Oryzias latipes: one gene and its partners. The protein of the gene in region 4 interacts with the protein of the main gene of each other region in a biochemical or structural test. Links are inferred from orthologs where the notes say so. Each region holds a gene or a part of one and is shown on either strand. Other genes may lie near its edges.

The links.
Region 1: of the proteins of abl1 (region 4) and atr, one has a biochemical effect on the other in vitro, tested with the Homo sapiens proteins (2 studies listed by BioGRID, with this or other methods). The link is inferred for Oryzias latipes from reciprocal best matches to the Homo sapiens genes ABL1 and ATR.
Region 2: the proteins of abl1 (region 4) and rb1 form a complex in vitro, tested with the Homo sapiens proteins (3 studies listed by BioGRID). The link is inferred for Oryzias latipes from reciprocal best matches to the Homo sapiens genes ABL1 and RB1.
Region 3: of the proteins of abl1 (region 4) and atm, one has a biochemical effect on the other in vitro, tested with the Homo sapiens proteins (3 studies listed by BioGRID and IntAct, with this or other methods). The link is inferred for Oryzias latipes from reciprocal best matches to the Homo sapiens genes ABL1 and ATM.
Region 5: the proteins of abl1 (region 4) and rad51 form a complex in vitro, tested with the Homo sapiens proteins (2 studies listed by BioGRID). The link is inferred for Oryzias latipes from reciprocal best matches to the Homo sapiens genes ABL1 and RAD51.
Region 6: the proteins of abl1 (region 4) and crkl form a complex in vitro, tested with the Homo sapiens proteins (4 studies listed by BioGRID and IntAct, with this or other methods). The link is inferred for Oryzias latipes from reciprocal best matches to the Homo sapiens genes ABL1 and CRKL.

The regions. Positions count from the first base shown.
Region 1 is NC_019880.2:5,838,700-5,842,199, forward strand, and holds part of atr (serine/threonine-protein kinase ATR), read right to left. Parts: intron 2,271-3,500; coding exon 2,146-2,270; intron 1,913-2,145; coding exon 1,742-1,912; intron 1,670-1,741; coding exon 1,515-1,669; intron 1,419-1,514; coding exon 1,266-1,418; intron 474-1,265; coding exon 275-473; intron 185-274; coding exon 1-184. UniProt on the Homo sapiens protein: Serine/threonine protein kinase which activates checkpoint signaling upon genotoxic stresses such as ionizing radiation (IR), ultraviolet light (UV), or DNA replication stalling, thereby acting as a DNA damage sensor.
Region 2 is NC_019872.2:15,912,888-15,916,387, forward strand, and holds part of rb1 (retinoblastoma-associated protein), read right to left. Parts: coding exon 3,487-3,500; intron 1,442-3,486; coding exon 1,337-1,441; intron 1,261-1,336; coding exon 1,147-1,260; intron 1,064-1,146; coding exon 915-1,063; intron 836-914; coding exon 805-835; intron 715-804; coding exon 572-714; intron 471-571; coding exon 424-470; intron 339-423; coding exon 268-338; 3' UTR 1-267. UniProt on the Homo sapiens protein: Tumor suppressor that is a key regulator of the G1/S transition of the cell cycle. The hypophosphorylated form binds transcription regulators of the E2F family, preventing transcription of E2F-responsive genes.
Region 3 is NC_019871.2:24,904,862-24,907,170, forward strand, and holds part of atm (serine-protein kinase ATM), read left to right. Parts: intron 1-546; coding exon 547-663; intron 664-1,402; coding exon 1,403-1,552; intron 1,553-1,651; coding exon 1,652-1,817; intron 1,818-2,309.
Region 4 is NC_019870.2:12,824,770-12,829,046, reverse strand, and holds the start of abl1 (tyrosine-protein kinase ABL1), read left to right. Parts: upstream 1-1,477; 5' UTR 1,478-2,024; intron 2,025-2,747; 5' UTR 2,748-2,978; coding exon 2,979-3,105; intron 3,106-4,277. Other genes in the region: exosc2 (exosome complex component RRP4), read left to right, coding at 218-298. UniProt on the Homo sapiens protein: Non-receptor tyrosine-protein kinase that plays a role in many key processes linked to cell growth and survival such as cytoskeleton remodeling in response to extracellular stimuli, cell motility and adhesion, receptor endocytosis, autophagy, DNA damage response and apoptosis.
Region 5 is NC_019882.2:19,723,064-19,727,023, reverse strand, and holds the start of rad51 (DNA repair protein RAD51 homolog 1), read right to left. Parts: upstream 2,801-3,960; 5' UTR 2,730-2,800; intron 2,694-2,729; exon of another isoform or gene 2,609-2,693; intron 1,790-2,608; 5' UTR 1,746-1,789; coding exon 1,656-1,745; intron 1,581-1,655; coding exon 1,443-1,580; intron 1,373-1,442; coding exon 1,255-1,372; intron 1,183-1,254; coding exon 1,091-1,182; intron 1,015-1,090; coding exon 920-1,014; intron 849-919; coding exon 735-848; intron 20-734; coding exon 1-19. Other genes in the region: centromere-associated protein E, read right to left, coding at 3,745-3,824.
Region 6 is NC_019870.2:17,501,482-17,505,653, reverse strand, and holds the start of crkl (crk-like protein), read right to left. Parts: upstream 2,801-4,172; 5' UTR 2,003-2,800; coding exon 1,692-2,002; intron 274-1,691; coding exon 1-273. UniProt on the Homo sapiens protein: May mediate the transduction of intracellular signals.

The DNA of each region.
Region 1 (3,500 bases), on a different chromosome or scaffold from region 4:
GAGGGATGGCTCTACTTTCCCATCATGCTCTGTTTTCAGCCTGCAGTGGAAGCAGAGGAATTTGGGAGGGCTGCTGTGTTCTTTGTGTATGAGGGTAGAAAGTCCAGACTGAACGCAGCTCAAGTCTCCAACGATCCGGGCGAGCTCCACCTTCACCTGCTCCGATTCATCTTCCTGCACAGACCTGCAGCGCCCAGCAAAGGAAAAAAGCAACATGATTAATGACCAAATAAGGAAATCCAACATGTTGTGACTGCACGGGAAGTTTACGCACAGGAGAGTTGTCCCGATGAGGCTGTGGAACCCATTTCCCAGGTGATGAAGAAGGACCGGGAAAACCCGGACGGCTGCAGCTCTGACGGATTCATCCCGATTCTGCAGCGCTTTTGTAAAGACGCACAGGCGCCACGTCTCACACACGCCGCCATGCAGGAAGGCGAGCAGCGACACACAGTCTGCCTCGATTTCAGGTGCTGGAGAAGAACACAGACAGATTCTAAACCTTTAAAAACACCTTTAGAACCAATATATGAGGGAAAAAAAACATTTGACAAACTGAATATTTGACAGATTTAATATGTCATAAGTGTGTACTGCTTGTATAAATGCAAATATGATTTGAAGCAATTACAATGTTAAAATGATAGCATTACTTTCTTAATCAATTATTACTTTATGTATAAGACCCACTCCGATGAAAATGGTGCTTAGAACTTGTTCTTATGGCTTATTTCCCATGATGGAGGACATATTTAAAGAAAATTCAGCTTAAAATAGCATCTCTGAGTATTTCTTTATTTAAATCAGGTGAAGATGAAAAAATTCTGATAGAAAATATCGTATTTGTGATGCTAGGTCCCTGCTCCACTCCATTCTGATGTACGTACATCTGTTTTCCACATCTGGGCTGGAATCTGGCTCTAAGCTGTACAACTGGATAGCTTCAATATTGCTCGCCATTTTAGTTGCGCCCCTAAATGGTAGGTTGGAGGCGTAAGGGGCTGTAAGCTAGCGGAAGAGAGCATAAACAGAGCGCTCGAACTGTTGATGTCCATGAAAACAATGTTTTTTGATTTTATTTAGCCTAAAAAGGCCATTATTAAACCTAAAATACCCCTGAGAACACTTTTATAATAGAGCAAAGAATTATCTTAAAATAGATTTGACATATTTATGTATTTTTATTGCCTTTTCTTTTGTGTTTATTGCTTAAAATAAACCAAATTAATTCATCCAGAAACTTCTCAGCAAATAAAAACACTCACAAAGAGAGCTGTTGAGCTTCTGGGCCAAAGCAGGCAGCCAGGAAGGGAATCTCGAACTCTTAAAGGCGAAGGCAGACTTGTTCTCGCACACCCAGGGCAGAGACAGCAGAGCACACACATCCCGCTGCAGCTCATCCTCCCCTTTTCTACCCACTGTGGCAACAAGACGGGACAGCCAGGACTCAGTTTAGACCAAAAAGTTGCTTTTCAAGACCAAATATTACAAGCTTCTCTTGCATGTTTACTCACACGTCAGGTACAACACGAAGTCAAGAATCCCAACAGTGGCACGAACGGCAGCCTGGAAACGATCCTGCTCTCCAACGGCTCCTTCCAACACCACACGGCAGCTTTTCAGGACTCTGCTGAGGGTTTCGGCGGACACCCACAGGAGAGGACACGGACTGCTCACCAAAAACAGAGTCACTTCATCAGAACACGGCATCTGCACGAAGGGGAGGAAGCCACAACTTTACCTGATGGGGGAGAAGCAGCAACCCGCCACATGGAGGATGAGGGCCAGACCCTGCAGAGCGAACAGAGTCTGGGGACTCCCCGGTTCTGCAGAGCTCAGAGGGTCCAGCAGCTCCTCCAGCCGAATTTTCAGCACGGCCCAAACCTCGCTGCGGGCGCTCATGTCCACGTCACTAAGAAAACACAGGCAGAACCGTTTCAGACAAACCTTTTCCCATTGTTTTTCTGAAAAGTCATTAAAAAATTTAAAATTTTAAAATTTAAAAAAACTTGAGTGAGAAACAGCCTAATTTCTCAGTTTTTGGAATAGCCTTCAAGCTACATTTTCTGCACAATGAGAGGACAACCACACGTTCGTGTGCCCCCCCCCCCCCCCCCCCCCCCCCTCAGCCGAGCCTGAACTTACTTCAAAGATGTGTTGTTGGTTGATGACTTGCAGGATCTTTTCGCAGCAACTTCTCCGTCTTCTTCTTCCCGGATCACATTAGCAGTCTCAGCTTTGAGGGCAGCTTGGAGAAAGCCCTGAGCACACTGCCAAATTACAAAAGTTACAAAACAGCAGGACTAGAAATACAACAACATTAGACGAAATTGGAAGTCTCACTCATCATATATTAAAAGTAAAGTGTCTAAAACTAAATTTGTTTGGAATAATTTTTTCTATTTATATATTGGAGGATAAATTTAAGGAAAATTAAGCTCTAAATTGCATTTCTGAGTATTTCTTTGTTCAAGTTGCTGCGAATCAGGAGCTGAAGAATAAAAGCCTTGAGAAAGCTTGTAGCAGCTTTGTACAGAGTTATGGCAGACGACAAGCTTCCTGCTCCATTCCACTCTAAAGCATTCACTTGTAGACGGCTTGATCCGTCTACGTCATTGTTTTCCTCTTCTGAGCTGGCATCTGGCTTCAAACTGGATAGCTCCAATATTGCTCACTGTTTTTGTTACAGCGTTAAAGGGCCCCCCACAACCCTGAGCTCGCAGAAGGGCGTGTAAACAGATGTATGACGGGAAGTGGGGGCAGGCTTACTCCGTACCTACGGCCCTGCCCACAACTTCTCTGCAGAAATATCTAATGAACTCCTGCCGCTCTGCAGAAACTATGTCTTGGGAAAGGACACCATTTTTTTTTTATTTTGGCTAAAAATGACATAATCCTGATGGAAAGATCGCTTGGAACACTTGGAACACAACAAATCAAAAAGATGATCAGAGTGGGACTTTAGGTATTATTTATCCTGTGAAATGCTGAGAATGTTTCATTGTCTTCCTTATTGCGTTGCAGTGTCTGATAATAAATAGAAAACCAATTTAATTATTTAATGGTTGCTGCAGAAAATCGTTTTTTAAATAGCTGGATATTGGGAAACGGTCAGGAACGTTAAAATTTGAAGATTTAGTGAAACAGCAAGATTTATAAAGGCACGTTTAAAGTAGTGGGATCTTACAAAAGTTAATTCTTTTTACTTCAAAAGATGAAAATCAAAGAAGTTATAATAAATAAAGTTTTGCCTCAAATTTATAAGGGGATTTTAAAAAAATACACCTCGTGCGTCCACAGATTCATAACCCTCAGTTTTAACAGTTAAAATCTGTCTAACACAAGGGGCTTCGGCTCCTTTTTGCTTCGCTGTTGGATGGGACAAGTAACGTAAAAAAAAAGGAAATTACAGGAGAAGATATGATTTCAAGCTGCTCTACTACAAAACAAACATGCTTTTTTTGTTTTGTCAGGATAAAAGTTTTGAATTCCAAGCAGAA
Region 2 (3,500 bases), on a different chromosome or scaffold from region 4:
TTCCTCCTTAAAAGGAGCAACTATAATAAACCAAACCCACATCAGGAACAACCACAATTCTATAAAAGTCATTATTTAGTTAAAAAACTCAAAGCATGACAAAGACAAAAAAAGGGGAGAGAATCGATGTCATCAAACTACTCTTTCAATCAAACTATAAACTAAAAGCAGCTAAAGGTGCACAAAAAAATCCAAAAGCAACTTGGGTTTCACTTTGTGTGCGGACAAACAGTAGTGTTCAAACAGTGCAGGTCAGTCCAGCAGATCTTAGGTTGTTTTTTTCCTGGATTCTGCATCCTCCTTCATCTTCTGCTCTTGCATTCGACTGCGAGTGGAGCCTGCAAGAAAAGCAGCATGAAGATGTGTGAGAAAACAACCGCAGGAGTTCAGCGGGACATGCAAAGGCACAGGTGTTTTTCTTACTCATCTCTGCAAGCTTCTGTATCAGTGCAGACTCTCCTCCAGATTTGCTGTAAATTGAAATGAAAAAATGATCCAGATGTTAAGTCAAATAAGCCTGATTTGTGGCGGTACTCTCAAGCTTGAATTTTGAAGTCGAATTGTCACAAACCTGCCATCAGCTTCATCCTGCCCGTCCACATCAAAGCGTAGCCTCTTCAGAGGCTTTAGAGCAGAGCCACCATCCAGAGTCCTCTTGTGAGCGCGGTCACCGCTGTTCACCATCTGGTTGATTTTCTGGAAGCGGTTGGCAAACTGTAGACCAAAAAAAGGAAAGAAAAGAAAATGTAGCAGCTTCTCCAGCCATGAGTAAAATAATAATTTTTATTTTAAAAAATCACAAACCCCAAAAGATTCACCAATGGAAACCAGCATTCTGCACAAAGGAAAAAAATTAATATATTGTAAGGAAATATTTCTAAAGTATTGACATATTCTAAGCTCTTGGGACTGACCTGGAGCGAGGAGTCATCATACCCGGAGACAGGCGTGAGTTTTTTAGAGGAGAAATGTACACATTGTTGCTTCCCGGCACACGCAGAGGGGAGTTTGGGAACTTGTAGGGACTGCATGGGATTTGAGGGATCGGAGAAAGAGTAGGTGGCTGGAGAGAAAGGACAGCAGATGCACTGAGACGAGTACATTTGCAATAAAAGCACACTGTTAAACAGGTCTGAAGTCTCTCACCCGGGTGGATGCATACTGCAGGATGTTGGTTTTTAACTTCTGCATAAACACTTGATTGTAGAAGACGATGATGGAGTCGTACTGGCCTTCTGTGATCAACACGTGCTTAAAGGTCTGAAAAAACAACATTCTCATAAGTCACTGTTCAAAAAGAAGAGTTTATATTAGAGTTTTTTGAAAGTTGCATCACCTCTTGGCTGGTGTTGGGCATGTTCTTGTAGGCAGAGACGATTAACTTGAAGCGCAGGTCGACGCTTTTTACTTTGCAAATTGCATACATGGCAGACATCATCAACTGCAGAGATGATTGAACTTTAGTCAGATTCTTCTTCACTACTGCCAGAAAAGTTCATAAAAACTTCTAACATTCACTCATGCACACACATTCACACACTGATGACGGCTCCACTGCCAAACACTGGGGTCATTCTATAACCATGAGGAGAAATGTGAGGTTCAACACATTCAGCGCAGCGGGAACCGGACCTGCGATCTTCCAATCAGAGGTCGACCGCTCTTCCTCTGCACCACAGCTGCCACTGCTATGGTGACCAAAATGGACAACCAAGCTCAGAAGCGCAGCTGCCAGCCTAGGTGAATCTGTGATAAATCTTTAACCTGGTGATCGGTGTTAAGAAGACATTAAAACAGGAATTCCCTGAGGAGCCTCCATCCTCCTTCACTGCTCTTTTTATTGGAGATATTTCACAATAAATAGATAATCACATTTCCATATGTGATCCTAGGAATAGGGAATTCCAGTTTCTCATTATGGAAGAAGGGTGGACTCCATCAACTACCGGTACTTGAGTTAGAGTCAAATGATGGTAAATATATAAAGTGTGAAGACTATTGATGGGTCTGGCAACACAGACGCATCGGCTCACGTGTAAAGCTCATAGAGTGAAACCCTGTGTCGCTGCGCGTATCCCTTTAGGAGAAGTCACGTGACCGATACAGCCACTGTGAGCCAAACAAGGAAGCGCGTCTACCAGCAGTGTTGCCAGATCATGCGGTTTTCCACCCAATTGGGTGGGTTTGATTTTGCTGAGAAAATTTGATTTGTGTGGTTTTCGCGTCAACTTTGCAGGTTTTAGTTAGTTTTATAATGAGTCTCTAAGCAGTCTTTTATTTTGAAAGTTATTATATTTTGAAAAATTACCAGATCTTCTTGGTTACATTACTGTCACTTGGGTGCTAAATAAGTCCAGCGGTGAGTTGGACTGAAGAACAGTTTTTGATGCCTCAGATGCGCGCCCTGCTTCCAGCTGTTGAATGATTCTCGCGCTCGTGTGCCGCCGTTTTCCCCGCCCACCTGTGTTTGAGGTTTTATTTTACTGAATCTTTACTTAAGGTGTTAAATGTGGTGTTTTAATGAGGTTCGCGGAATTATTTAATAGTTTTAATAGTGTTTCTGGCTTTTTGTTTCTCCTCTTCCTCTCGGTTTCCGCTTGATCTAGCAGAATATAATTCTATTTCCAACGAACTCTAATCAGTCATTTTATGTTTCAGAGGTTAAATGTGGCATTTGTTCTGCAGAACCGTCAAACTTAAAAGCACTTTCCTAATGCTGGGGCATTATAGAGCGAGACATGGGAATAAGGAACTACTATGACAAATATTGTGTTTAGCTTCAATTTAAAAAGTATATCAGCTGAGTTTCTTAACTTGGTTCCCTGCAATAACGTTTTTGGTCCAGTCAGTATTAAGTGACACAGTATCGACACAGTATCATTACAGTTTGGGCAATGTGTTGAAACGCTTCACGTGGCCTCATCTACACATCACTAGTAAAGACTATATCATTAAACTAGATGTAACATTTATGGATCCCTTGAGGATTATTTGTATCACTGTAGTTTAATATTCTAAAATAATACACATTTGTAGTTTATTTTGAGTGAAGATGGAGCAGCAGAGAAGGGTGGGAGGTGCTTTTTTTATTTTTCTTTGATGGAGAGTTTATTTTTTGTGTTTGTGTGATCTGTATTCTGTCAGTCCAGAGTGTTTCAAGTTCATGCATTTTATTTATATGGATGGTCTTTTTGTCTGACAGAGAAATGTAGAACTTCCTTCTTCTTGTTCTCTGTTGTCCTGGACTGGTAAAGCTCGTACACCGAGTTCTACTTTTCCCTCGCTGTGATTATTCATCGTGACAAATGTTGAGAGAAGGCGCCATTGTTATAAGGGATACCTTTAACGTCACAGATTCTTAATAATCTCTTAAAAAGCATGATAATAAAAAGGAAAGAAATTGGTAGGAAAATAGAAACATAAAGAAATTCTAGCTTTACATAACTAGAAAAAAACAATCATTAGAGCACGATAAGGCGAGCACACCTGGTCAAGGTGAC
Region 3 (2,309 bases), on a different chromosome or scaffold from region 4:
AAATATGTGATTTTGAGAATGAAAAGCTTTTGATCCACATGAACTGATTTCCACCATCACATGTTTAAGCATGTTTGAATTATGCTGTCAAAATCTCAGTATCTCCGTCCTCAAATGTGTGTTTTTTGTAAATTCGGATGATCGTGAATACATTTAATAAATGAGAGGAACATTTGGAAAGAGAAACCTGTCAGAATGAAACATGGATGAATTCCATCTCCCACTGGAGTATTAGTTTGCTTAAACTGGTCTTCAGCTTCAACTTCAGCTGCTTTTGGGCATTATGGGACAGAAGGGGTCAAAAAGCACCAACTACACAGTCGCTGTATGAAACTGCACCCACCCAAAACTCTGGATTATTTTCAGAGAAATAAACTGTTTTAACTCTTTGGGGCAAAATACAAGAGATAAAAACAATTGTAGGAATTTCATAAAGTGTAATCCAGTGTGTGGACTCTGCTCGTTCATTATAGTCAGATTGAAATGTATTTAAAAGGGAACGTTAGAGAGAGTTTCCCACGGGTTCTGCTGTGTGCTGTGAAACAGGGTCAGGACGACATGCGGCAGGATGCAGTGATGCAGCAGGTCTTCAGCATGTGCTCCATGTTGCTGCAGCGCAATAAGGACACTCGGAAGAGGAAGCTGAACATCCGAAGATACAAGGTTCCTGTTGTCCCTAATAAATAACAGTATTCCTCTTTAAATTCCCACTCTCATCCGCTTTTGATCTGTTGTGAAGGTGTTCCCGGTGGTCTTTTAATTGCTCTTTTTAGCAACACAAAAAAAAAACCTGTGTCATTTTCTGGGACAAAACTTCTGCAGAGCAACAGTAGTTCAGTAGTTGTGGCACAGAATAATCCTGCACTGATTTCCCATCATCCCTTTGGTTACACAGTTTTGAACCAGATTCCAGCTCAGATGCGGAAAACAAAGAGGTTCATGGATCTATTTGTCTGCAAGTGAATCAATCAGAATGAAGCAGAGCAGGAAGGTTGTGGCCCGCTAATTGTAGTTTGTATGTAACAACTATAACAGCTTCCCCACAATTTGAAGAAACAGTTTTAATCTTAAGATTCCTAATATATGTCCTCCATCTTCAGAGAATTGCTATAAAAACATGTTGAAAAACATAAAAAATTTGTTTTTCTTCTTTAAAATCTTTCTCTTTAAAGACCAACTCTGATGAAAATGCTGTTTTAGGTGTTTTTAACATGTTCTAGTGGCATTTTTCTGATAACGGAGGACACAATGAAAACGATACCCATAATTGCATTTCTGAGTATTTCTCACTGGAAAAGCTTTTACAATAGATCAAAAGAGGATCGGATTGGGACTTTACTGGTTTCTGGTTCTTGTCTAATGTCCTTCTAAAGCAAGACGTTGTGGTTCACACTCGATCCAGGTGGTGCCGTTCTCGCAGCGCAGCGGCGTGTTGGAGTGGTGCTCCGGCACCATGCCCATCGGGGAGTTTCTAACAGAACCGAACAAAGGAGCCCACAAACGCTACCGACCTCAGGATTGGACCAGCCTGGCCTGTCGCAAAAAAATGATGGTATTCCTTCAGCAGAACGTTGAAAGAGCATTTTAAGTGAACACTACAGGGTCCTAAATAAACTTCTGCTTTCTTTCCACGTCTTTGCTGTGATTGCAGGAGGCTCAGAGTCTGGGATTCGACTACAAGCTTGAGGCCTACATGAACGTTTGCAAAAACTTCAGACCGGTCTTCAGGTATTTTTGCATGGAACGATTCCTAGACCCCGCGTTATGGATGGAGAGACGACTGGCTTACACCCGCAGTGTTGCCACCTCCTCTATAGGTACCTGATGTTGCTATGGCAACTTGTTGACCCAATACATCCTGCATTGACCTGGAATGTTATCTTGTTGAAACAATGGTTGTTTTTGCACCACTGTGTTGAACTTTCCTTACAAAACTTTAGGCTTTGTTTTAAACGTGAGCAAAAATTTAAATCTTGTGTTTAACTAAAAGCCTAGAATAAAAACTATGCACTGGAAAAACACGCCCCTTAGATAAAAAGTCAAAAATTATTACCCCATTGGAAGTTTTCTTTTAAATAAGAAAAAAAAAACTGTCAATGGGGCAAGAAAAGGTGTCTTACCAAGAGTTCTTTTTCTAAGACGTGTTTTTTCAAACTAAGATTATGTTGCCATTAAAAAACTTGATAAGATGTTTTTCTTGCAAGACAGAAAATCTTTTTTTTTTTAAATACGTTTTCCTTTTTTACTTTCTTCAGATTCATTTTGTGTAGAAACGTTCTATTGTGTATGTAGAGACAAAAATCCTCTTT
Region 4 (4,277 bases):
AACCTTCACATTTATTTGTATTTGCAGAATGGAACAGACATTATTTATTGAAATAAACAAATCAGATATAAATATATGTTTTTAATTTATTCTGAGAAATGGTAAATTTATGAGCAATTCGTGTATTTTGGTGAAATGCATGTAACTATAAATGTTTCTGGACTTTTACAAAACGATAACAACCTGTTTTAAAGATTTCCCTTTTCCCTGCCTGTAGGTCAAGGACATCTTAAAACCCGAGGTGATGGAAGAGATTGTCATGTTGACCCAACAGAAGCTGCTGGAACAGGAAGGATAAAAGGCTAATGCTAAAACCACATCCAACAACGGGGCCACCATCCACTTATCCAAAAATTAAGTTTAGTTGTCTTCTATGAATCAAAGTGAGGTGCTCAGAGATCACATTCTTTATTTGATATCAAACATTAATAATGCATATAACCTGAATGAAAATTAAAATGTTGTCCACATTTGTAAATGCTCGGTGTGACATTACATTGTGATGGTTTTGTATAAAATAAAATTTCAGTCATTTCTGTATAGTTCTCATCGTGGTCTGTATTGATAAAAAACAATGAGTACATTGAATCAATTAACCTATAAGAACCCATGGTGGACATAATTGTAACAAAATCATCAAAAGTGTGTTCTTTGGTCCACTTGGATTTTTGTATATTCAAAATAATTTTCGTTTGAAGGAAAATGGGTCTTCAGGGTTAATGTTAGATCTTAAAATAAATCTGATTATTTCACTCTTCATTAAATGTTAAATTAAATATTGTTAAATGTTTAGCAGCATTTTGGTGCTTCATGCTTCTACTAACTTAAATACTTTTTTTTCATAACAGTCTGAATCATTAGCTCTCAAGAAATGTTTTTTATTTTAAACAATAAAAAAATGAAATTCAATTTGCTACATAAAATATTTATTAGTTGGAACATGGCCTACATTTCCCTTTTTATGTACTAATTTTTGAAAATTCATTAATTGTTAGTTTTATATGCAGGATTTAATTTTTTTTCTCATAGTTGTTTGATAACTAAAAAAAATGTTCTACTCTAAGACAGGTTAATAAAAAGTGACTTTATTTATATAAAAGTGTGCAATCACCTTTGTTATTCCTGAATGTTTTTTCTAACCAACCTTGTATTCTTTTAAATGAAGAAAGCTAAAAAAAGAATTCGATTTATCCCTGCTGGGATGGCTTTTCCCCTTCTGTTTCCCTTCCTGCTCCTCCAGCAGAATCCAAACTCGTGCGCTTCCCTCATTTTTTTTCCAAACTTTATTGATCATAACATTAAATTTACAAAACATAACATCAAGGAATAAAATAGATCAGCATCAACAACTATTGTCATCATTCCAAACTTATTCAACCACAGCAAGTAACAAACGTAGCAGAAACATATCAAAAACGTGCGCTTCCCTCATGGTTTTTTTTTTTTTTTTTTGCGCTTCCCTCATGGTGCTAGCCCACGCTGAGCTCGTGACGTCACACGTAGCCCCACCCACATATTTCTGTAAACCACCTTACGTATGGAAGTATGGCGGTTCCAGCGACAGAACTGGAACTCGGCCAAAGTTTACTGCTCAGGTTTTCACGTGAAAGTGATGAATAAGCACGCAAGCATAGAGCTCGCTAGTAAAGGGCACGGCGGCTGGGAATTCGGGAGAAAATCTAGGAGACAGAGTCGTCTGGCCCTCAGAGTTCCCTCAACTTCGCCTACAAGTGGCTTTAGAGACGCGGGGGGAGACGCTCCACAAAACGGGAAGAGTGGACGCGGAAGTTTGAAACACACCAACAAGTGCTTTGATTTTTGGTTACAGAGTGTGAAACTGCGGTCACGGGACATGTTTTGGTGAGATAATGAAGTGGACTTGACTGCGGTTACCAGCAGAAACCAACCGTTGACTGTCCGGCGTGCATAGGGGTCTGGCGCTGCTTACCACCAGCAGAAGTTTGGTTAGCTTATGGCTATCGTCAACATTAGCTGGAGCTAACCAACAGTGTCAATGTTTTCATGTAAGTTTACCTCACATTTAAACACTTATCAACGTTTTATTTTTTAACTGTACAGTTTTATTAGAGTCAAAAACAAAGATGTCGTTGTCACAAAGTTGTTTATAGTTAATTAAACCACGTATGACACTAGTTTACATTATTGTGCTCGAAAGATTAAGACTAAGATAGTCGAGATAAACAACATAAGGTGTCGCTTTTCTTTAGTACTGATAAGCAAATGTATTTTCAGTATTTGTAGTTAGTTATGTGAAGCTGTAACTAAACCGAGACTAACCCAACACTATTATTTTGAGGCTGTGATTGACGTTAAACAATTTAGAAAAGTAGTTGTTCGAACCCTAAACCTAACAAACTTGAGGAAATACTTTCAATTTAACTCTCAACTTCTACAGAACAAGACATTTTTGAGCAGTTTTAACATTAAAAAGACACTTATTCTAAATTATAATTAATTTAATCTTTTGATCTGATTGGTCAGGCTCTAAAATTATTTTTTTAATCTAGATTATTATAAAATGCATTTCATGTTATTATTTAACATGTGGTCAGGTCTAATACTTTTTACAGAACAGAAATAGTCTTAAAACAACTCCCAAAATTGAAAGTTTGTTGGCGTATTGCTTAAAAGACATTTTTTTACAAGCTTATTTGTCATTTCTTTATTTAAAAAAAGTTTGATCAGATAACTTTGAATGCTGATTACTGTTGTTTACGTTTCTGCAGATTCCTGTTAGGTCCCTCATATGTCGTCTGAATGCATAAAAAAACTGAACCCTACTGGAGTAACACAGACTTGTGCAGGAGGCCTGCATCACCAATACTCCAGGAGAAGACAGTGTGAGCCCGGAAAGAGGCTCCTGTCTTCTCCAGATCCCGCCATTGCCGCTCAGCAAGCTTTCTAACCGACTCCGTCCGACTTGGATAGTCCCGGCTGCAGCCTGGCACCCTGCCCTTATGGGGCAGCAGCCGGGAAAGTTTGTCGGGGACCAAAGGAGACCCAGTCTTCCAGCCTTTATTAAGGGGGGAAAGAAGGACTTACCGCGCCATGTGAATCAGCCGATGAATGTTTTTGATTGGCACGGTAAGATCACAACCCCACTCATTTTTAAGGTAAAAATTCAGAGACAAAAAATACTGAAGGACAATCATTTGCTTTTTTCCACTTCCTATTGGCAATCACAAATTCTAGATATTAATGTCTGCATTCAATAGGCTCATGTTTTTTAATCAGTTTATATTTTAGAAGACTTTGTCTTGCGTGCACTAGCTTCAGCAAAATCTTTGGCAGAAAATTTAGGGGATTTGACATCTTTGTCATTGATTAAAAAGCTGGCAAAACAATCCATGCAACCTGAGCAGAAAATCAAATCTATGCAGCTTCAAAATCTGATCCAAAGGTATTTTACCAAACTTTTTAACCTTAAATTTACCTTTTTAAATGCAAATTCAATTGCAAATGCATTTTCCTGCAGATAAATTAACCTGGATGACAAGTTTGTGCTTAGTTTGGCCTTATATGATATAATTATTATTGGATTAATATTTCACAGATGTTTCAAAGTTCCCTGAGAAAATAAAAGCGTTTTCTCTCACATCAACTTCCATTACGGTGTGATCAATGATATGCCACTTTGAAAATGTTGTGCCTAAATCAAAAGTGTATAGGGATGTTTAAAACTCAGTCATAGATATGTAATTAAATATGAAGCTTACTTCAAAGCATTTTACAACATTATCCAATACAACCTATTGCTGAATATAACATAAAAACCTTTGTTCTTAAGCTAAAAGCTTGCTTGTCAGTAAAATGTTGACTTAAAACCTTATTTAAACACTTTTTCTTGTGATTTTTAAAATGAAAACATTTGTGCTTGTGATTAGGATTTACAATCATCATTTTTTTATGATCTGAAAAAGAGTTTACAACTGTGCTCCAAATGTACCGGATGCAATCTGATTAAAAATTGCAAATTATTCATTAATGTGGAGGACTAAAGCCCCTTTGGATTGATTTTGAAATTAAAAAAAAAAGCTTGATAGTTAGAGTGGGAAGGGAAAGAGGAAGAAGATGGAATGAACAAATTCCATTAGGAAAAAAAAACAGGGATTTTGTGGGCTTTTGGCCACAAAAGCAGAGCAAAATTAAATGCAATTTAAACCATTTCTGTCATTAGTATTTTGAAGGAGTATGAAAGCTATTTTAGCGTGCGATCATGCTCAATGATACCATCTCTGTTTTCTTATGTTATGTCC
Region 5 (3,960 bases), on a different chromosome or scaffold from region 4:
CACGATCAGCAGGGCATACCTGAGACACAAACGCACCATCTAAAGTAATCTAAAGCTGATGTTCTGATGCTTTTTTTACAATACAGATGAACTGACAACTTTTTTTTTAACAGCAGTTCCATTTGTCAACCTCCTTCGGTAGAATATTACATTTGGCTGCATGTGTGGGTTTTCTCTGCGGCTTCCTCACAAAGTCCACCAAATATGATGACCAGTGAGGCACCTGAAAAGTCCTCGCTGTCTGTGCACTAACAGAGCCACCAGCAGGGGGCAGTTCTGTCTGAGGTTTATCCTGATGGATCTCATCAGTTATCAACATTAAGAACATCTGACTCCTCCATCCACCTCCATGCTGATGACATAATCCTCTATTTCATTGCCGCCCCCTCCTGACATACTGTTTCCCTCAATAACATGTCAATAAACATATATATATATTTAAATGTATTGATTTTTTATCTCTCATTCTTCAAATGAACCTATTTGCTGCATTGTAAAAGAAGGATAAACATTCAACTAGAGGCAACCAGTTATGCTAGTTTGGCCAAAATCAGCATATTCATGATAAAAAGATTACTGGGAATGATTTGAAAATAGATTTTAAAAAAAGATGATCGGACTTTAAAGCTCAAACACTTGGGTATGTGACCTTTGACTGAATGTGTTCGGAAACCTGCAAACTGTCTGATCTCAGGAAGTGGACTGGAGGACAGCAGAAGGTGTGAAGGACTCACCTGGACTCTGCCATCATGGCTGAAGCTTGGTACAGCAGTTGGGTCTGATGGTCGGTGTTGAAGGCGCGGGCGTACGCCACGTTGTCCAGGACGTCACTGCCCACCAGACCGTACCTGAAGAGCCCAGAGTTTTAACATTTTCTCAAAGTAAGATGAGGAGTTTGACGCTCACGGTGGAAACTCGCCTCTCTGCCACAGCGAGGAGCCTCTCTGGTCTGAAGGTCCCCTCTGTGTCGATGTACATCGCTTTCCCTTCTCCTCCCCCTTGATCGATGGGCAGCTGCAAACAGAACAGAGGACTGAAAGCTTCACGTGATCAGACAGATGGAAGTTTGGCCATTCCGCGCTGATCTTACCTGACACGTGACAGCGAGGGTGTGGCACAGCTGCGTCTTCCCCGTGCGAAACTCCCCAAACATCTCTGTGATGGAGCCTGTCTCAATACCACCTGAACTCAGGAAGGAAAAGGTCAACATTCTTCAAATCCTCAGGGATGGTGAAGGAGCTCCAGCAAACTCACCCTGCAGGAGTTTGTCCAGCTCTTTGGATCCTGTGGAGATCTGGATGATCTCCGACCTTCTCTGGTGGAACTCTGTGGCTGTAGTGAAACCCATCGGTACTAGCTTGGCAGCTTCAGTCTGAGAGAGATAACAGAACCGTTAGGTAGGAGCAGCAGAATCCCTGAAGCCAGAAGCTGCTGTTCCTCACTAGGATCTTGTCGGCTTTGGCCTCGCTGATGCCTTTGATGTTGAGCAGCTCCTTCTTGGGAGCGTACGCCACGGCCTCAATGGTGTGGAAGCCTGCGTCCTCCAGTTTCTTGATGTCGCTGGAGCTGATTCCACACTGCTGCAAGCAGAAACCAAAATGTTTAAGACAACAAAGCTTCTGCAAAAGACACAATAGAACTATCAGGGTTCAAACCTCCAGTCTGCTAAGAGGCTGCGGCCCAAAGTTCTCCTCCTCCTCCACCGCCACTTCTGCCTCCACCCGAGCCTCGCTCCTCATGGCCATGACTCTTGAATGAAAAGCTGAATTCTCCTCAGGCAGGGTCCTCACTGCACAGAGTCAAAAAGGAGTGTCAGAGCAGCAAACACCACGATACAAAACAAAACAGGACAGAAAGTTTAAGGAGGTCTAATGCTTTCATTTAACTAAATCCTACTGATTTAATACTAGTTTTTCTTCAAAACATAAAAGACTTGAGGATATTTTCTTAAACTAAAATAGGAGCGTTTTAAACGACCCAAAACACCTAAGCACAGAATAAGAATATTAACAGTAACTTAAAACTTAAACACGTGAAACATGATTTCCCAGCATGCAATTATCCATCAATCCTCTTTAGAGGTTTTTAAGCAATATACTGAATACTAACGAATTTTTATTAGTCAAATAATTTTAAATATATACGTTTAAATTACTTTTCTTTCCTCTACATAATTCAGGGAATAAAGTGGCATTATCAAACCAATTTGCAGCCTGTTATGCAGCAGGGATTTGTAGTTCTTAGTTGTAGTTGATAAAATAAAATGTTAACTGCAGCGTCTCAGCAGGTGTTCAAAGCTTTTTTTAATCCGCATTTTATAATAAATGATTAGAAGAGACAAATGTTTTCTAAAGTTAACATTGCCTGTTGAAGTTACACCCCGTTGTTCAAATTCAAAAACTTTATTGATAAGTTGACGTAACACTTATGGGGAAACCAGTGTTTAACCAAACGACTACAAACTGACTCCTATAAATCAAAGTTTTCCAATAACAACAGCAGCTGTTCATATTTTCAAAAGGCTTATTTGTATCTTTCAAAGCATTTTTTGGCTAAATTGAAGTCGCCCGCTAACTTAGCTTTAGCGCTAATTTGCGTAATTTCGTACAAAAAGTTTGATCTTCCGTAAAGCTGCTCTGGGTTTAAGAGCAAAGAGCCAAGTGTCATGGTTCGAACCCCCTAGAAGCAGTGACATTTTTCTACTAAAGACCACGGTTTCGATGAAATACCTGCTGCTTTGTTCTGTTTGCTGATCCTACAAACAAAACTCCCGCGCACGAGATTCCTGTCGAACGCGATGACGTCACATGTGTTCCCATGCCTTGACAAAACAGGAAACCGGAAAAGGAACATTTTTTTTATCAAGTAAAAAATAAAGAACTAAACATTTTCGGTTTTAGCTTCGTAAATGGATATTAGTTTGAAATTGTTTTCCACAAAAACATAAAATATGTATACTTAAATCTTAAAAAAAGAGGCTTGCTCATAATGTGAAAAGCTACAAAGAACAGGGATCCGTTAAAAATCCAAAATTTCTCATTAGGAAGATCTGTTTAAACGCATTTTCCCCTCAATTTCATGTTTATAAGTAATGTCTTTACCAAATAAAATGTCTGTCAGACACGTTTTTGTGATTATTTTAACAAAAAAAGTCTTCAAAAGTGGTATTTAGATTCATTTATTCATCCGTGACTAATAAGGTTTTCAGTAAACATTGAAATAAACCTTTATTTTGATAGAGCAAAGATTTCACTGAATTGTAAAAGCACTTTCAGGCATCATTGGCATCTTGTTTAAATTTGAAGCCTTTATTTTACTTTCAATAGGAAAATAAAATCCCCACCATAAAAGGATTTAAACATGACCTCCGCATGCTTAAATATGCGTTTGATTTTAAACTAGTTCCTCAAAAACAAACATCCAAGTCATGGGCCAATAAATGCAAATTCAAATTTAAAACAGCTGTGACCTACTAATTTGACATTTTTCGTACATAACTGCAACAAAATTCAAGTGAATTTTTTTTTTCCAACCAAGCGTAACCTTAAAACAATAAAAGAATAAACCTCACATTTCATTTTCCATTTATTACAATTATAACAAAATTGCACATGAAGTGTTTTCAACTCAGAGGAGAATCACTCTTATACTGAAATACAAAAAAGTCAGACTAAAACACAGGATTTATTTTTTGGCTTTAAAAGAAAAGTGAAATATTCATTTTTAAAAGGATTCTTTTAATGTTCATTGGGTTTTGCAGAAATCTTCTTTTTTGGGAGACTGTGGCCACCACGGGTCTGTCCCACTGGCTCCAGCTGCAGCATCTGAAAAATAAAAGATTTAAAAACATTTTTTCTGTGCTTTAATCATCAACATGACAGAATCCTTTACCCTGGATTTAAAGAAAAAGACTGGGGTTAGAACAAATGCACACAGATAAATATATATTTAAAAAGTAAA
Region 6 (4,172 bases), about 4.7 Mb from region 4:
TTGCGCGAGCCGTGGGAAGGCTGGCCAGGATGGGGGGAGGGTCGTACCAATTTCTCCACGTAGGGCACGGGGATCATCCCGACGCGTCCATCTTTATTTTTGGCACTCCACCATTGTTCCTCTGGCTTTTCCAAAATGATAAGGATCTCCCCTTTCTTGAATGGAAGGTCCTCCGCGTCACTACCAGTGAAGTCATATAGTGTCCGCACGTACTCAAAGTTATCCTCTGGACCAATCATAGACTGGACCGGACCACCAATAGTGCTTGGGTACCTGAAAAGATATGACCCAACTGAAATGTTTTGCGTAGAAGAGTGTATCAATGGTTCCTTGTTAACCCTTTAATAGACATGAAACAACACATGCTCTTCAAACTACTGTAACTCTTGGACCATTTACCCAAGTAACAAAATTCCAACAGATTCTACAGTTGAGAAAACTGGCTAAAAATGCACTGATGCTTGCACTATACATGCATCAGTTTGTAGTGAAGTGTGCAGATAATAAGTGCATTATTGTTATCTTTTCCATTAGTATGATCTCCTTTAGAGATTAAACGTTAGTTCTTGGTCACGTACTATGTTAAAAAGTGCGACTTAAACTCCAGTGTGACTAATAGATGATTTCCCCCCTTCCTTATGATGTATTGTTTAGCTGCTGCAACTTATAGTTCAGAACATATGTTAATTGCCTAAACGGTTGAAGAGTTACTGTAATTCAAGACCATCAACACAGCAGCTAAAGTTACGGTGTCAAAGGGTTAAGAAAGGTATCATCTGCATGAAGTGCACTAATGCCTTGGTGTGTAAGAGTGTGTAAAAACACTAGAATACACACGCAAATGTACTATACCCTACAGGGGTGTAACGATCAATTGCCTTAAATGATTTCCAGATCGATTTATCTGTTGTTAATAGAATTGATCTATACCATTATTAAATTATTTCAAAATGACCTTCAAATCGATACAGGAAAATACCATTTGGATTGTTTATTTTTCTATAACGTAAAAACGACCTTGAGAGAGGACAACAAACGTGATAGCGGCAAAATAAATAAATAAATAAAATAAAAAAAGATCAGTCCATCGTTCCAGTTCAATTTAAGGAACTACTATGAATTTAGCTAAGACGTCACCATTCAGTGTGGTAGAATGTTCTAAAAATGGCCTTTGTATTATTCTTATGTGGAAAAACAAAAGTGGGCTGAACTTTGTTAGACTAAAATACATTTGCCATTAATTGTTGTTTACTTGTTTGTTTGTTTGTACACATATTTAATTTACACCTGATTATCTTCCAAGAAAGACAGGGAATCTGGAAGATTTCACCTGCACTGTTGAGTATCCAAGTATTTATCTCTGAGTCGAACTGGTTGAAATTTTGGCGAAATATGTCATGGTGGATTGATTTCAGGTCAGTGGATGATCGGATCATTCAAAATGAATCAATATCGACTATGAATCGGGTTGGCAACTATGAATTATGATACAAATCGAACTGTTACACCCCCTAATGTCACACACAGTTGTGTACAGATCAGGCTAGTTATTCATGAACATCTTAGCTAATGTTAAAACAAACTCAACAGGAACTGTCCAATAACATGCTAATTCAACGACATATTTGCTGAGGAATAACAGAACAGAAAGTGGTCGTCTACCGGGATGCTGGAAGACGTCACGATCGTACCTGGATGCTGGTTCTATTAGCGTTGTTGTGTCCAGGTAATGGATTTTGTAGAACTCCAGAAGGGCTGGGAGGTTTTCGAACTCTTGATCTCCTATCTTGAACCTCTTACTGGGCAAAGAGTTGATGATATAGTGAGATACTTTGGAGTTTTCGGACACCGACAGCACGTAGTCCCCGGGACAGGTGGACGAGTCTCGCACCAGAAACATGCCGTGTCTCTGCCCCTGTAACCTGTTCTGCGCCTCCTGTCGCGACACTGGTCCGAAATACCAGGCCGAGCGATCAGACGAGTCAAATCGGGACGCGGACATTTTAAAAAAAATCTTTAAAAAATAAGTTAATATAAAGAAGAAAATGAGAACTATTGAATAAGTTAGATTCAAACGGGCCTATCGCATCCAGCTGCAGTACTTGGCAGATGCGGGGTAGGGCGTTCGTCGCCCGAGGACCCGATTAAAACAAATAAACAAAAGATCAACCTGACGTTTTCAGCGACAGGCTGCGACCGACCTGCTGATCCAGCCCGGGAGCATAATGTGACGAGCAGCTAACGGCCCCGAAACGGACGAACATCGACGGAAACTGAAGCAACAAATGATCAATAAAGCTTCCTCTCGTTGTTCCGCCTTCCGCGAAAACTCACAATTATTTAGCTTCAGTTCAGTCAGTGTCAGTTACGAGAACGGAAAGGGTGGCCTCAGGCGCGTTCCATCTCCATGTTTGCAACTAAAAACAAAAATTGTGACAGCGTAGAGAAAGAAAATACCGACTCTGTATCCTCTTGGTGTCACAAAAAGGCGGACGTCACGGAATTGGGGTGTTTAACTCCCCTTTCTCGGGTCGGAGTAGACTTTTGAGGGGGGGAAAAATGGCGGCTCGCAACACGTCTTCACACCAAAAAATGATATGACGGCCGCCGCGTGTCTGCTGCGCTCCAGTTCTCGCGTGCATTCCTCGAGTGCCCGCGAGAGATCCAGGCGTGCCGGTTCCGTGCGATATCCGTTCTCTAATTTCAGCGGGTCCCGCTTGTTTCAGCCAGCAGAAAGCGCAAGCAGGACACGGGAAAAATGGCGACGGGAGGGCTGGTCCCGCTTTCTATCTGCACGTCACGGAGGGGAGCAGGAGAGGAAGGGGTGGGGCCGTGGGCGGAGGAAAAGGTGGGCGAGTGATGACGTTTCTGGCGGGCCCACTTTGATGTGTCACTGTTGTCATTTCATGTCCCTTGCTTTTATTATTGTGAGTAAAAAAAAAGTGTGTTCATTAATTTGTTTCGGATGCCCTTGTCTATATATTCTGTAAAACTGTTCATTTTCAATAAAGTTTTCTTTTTTAATGTGCCGGTTTAAGTTTTCTTTTCTTTTTCTTCCTATTCCATTTTAGACCTGACAAAACACCAACCAAAAGATGTGCGGCCAAATTTTCAATGATCGCACGGCTAATAAACAAAAGGGAATCGTGTGAAGCAGGAGTTCCTCCATTTAACCACCATGAGCAGGGCCAGAGCTACAGGGGGGCAGAAGGGGGCAGTTGCCCCCAACCAATTTTTGAAACAGTATTATTATTTTCACAAAGATTAAGAAATCATTAATGCAAGCTTTGTTAGTAATGGCACCTCAGCAAAAAAAAAAAATGCAGTGTTGTTATTAATAACAATAATAAAACTATGAAACATGGTTAACCCTTTCATTTGTAATGGCCTTCCTCTCTGCTTATCACATTTGCCACCCAATTAAAGTCTACTGCCCCCCCATATGAAATGTTTTAAATCCACCACTGATCATAGACTAGGCTACTATTCTGAAGTAAATAAGAGAGAAAAAATAACTTAATAAAACCAAACTACTCAAATATTGTGTGAGAAATGTCACAGTATACCAGGGGTCTGCAACCTTTGGGCTGATTTTTCTCTGACGTAAACCTGGCAGGAGCTTCAGTAGAAAAGTACATCAGTGCTTTGTGTTTGTTACTGTTATTTTTATGCTAAATAGAAGTGAACCATTGTTTTTGTTGGTTTTAGCCTGAATTCATCCATCCATGCATTTCCTAAACCTGCTGAATCCCTTTCAGGTTCAGGGAGTTGCTGAATTTGTCAGAGATTTTAAAGCAAAAATTTTTAGCTACACTTTCAAAACTCCTTATATCTTAGTGCTTAGATATTTTTTATGGCTGATACCTCTGCAGATGTGTAGCTTTATAATAGACTGAGATATAGACTCGCTAAAATGAAAAAGCCCGTTTTCTCTGTTAAGTATCTCTAAAGGAGAAAAAAGCATGTTTCTCTTATTTCATTTCCTGATGTTTCTTAACTTCCCCTTTCACTCGATCTTAATGTATATATGGTCTGGAATTGGACGGTGACACACTAATAGTAAACTGCTACTTGACTCAATAAGAAATACAACGGAAGGGAAAAAAAAGAGTTTTTAAAATGCAAAAGGCTGTGCCACATAAAAATCCTCCCTGACAAAACACAATAGTGGA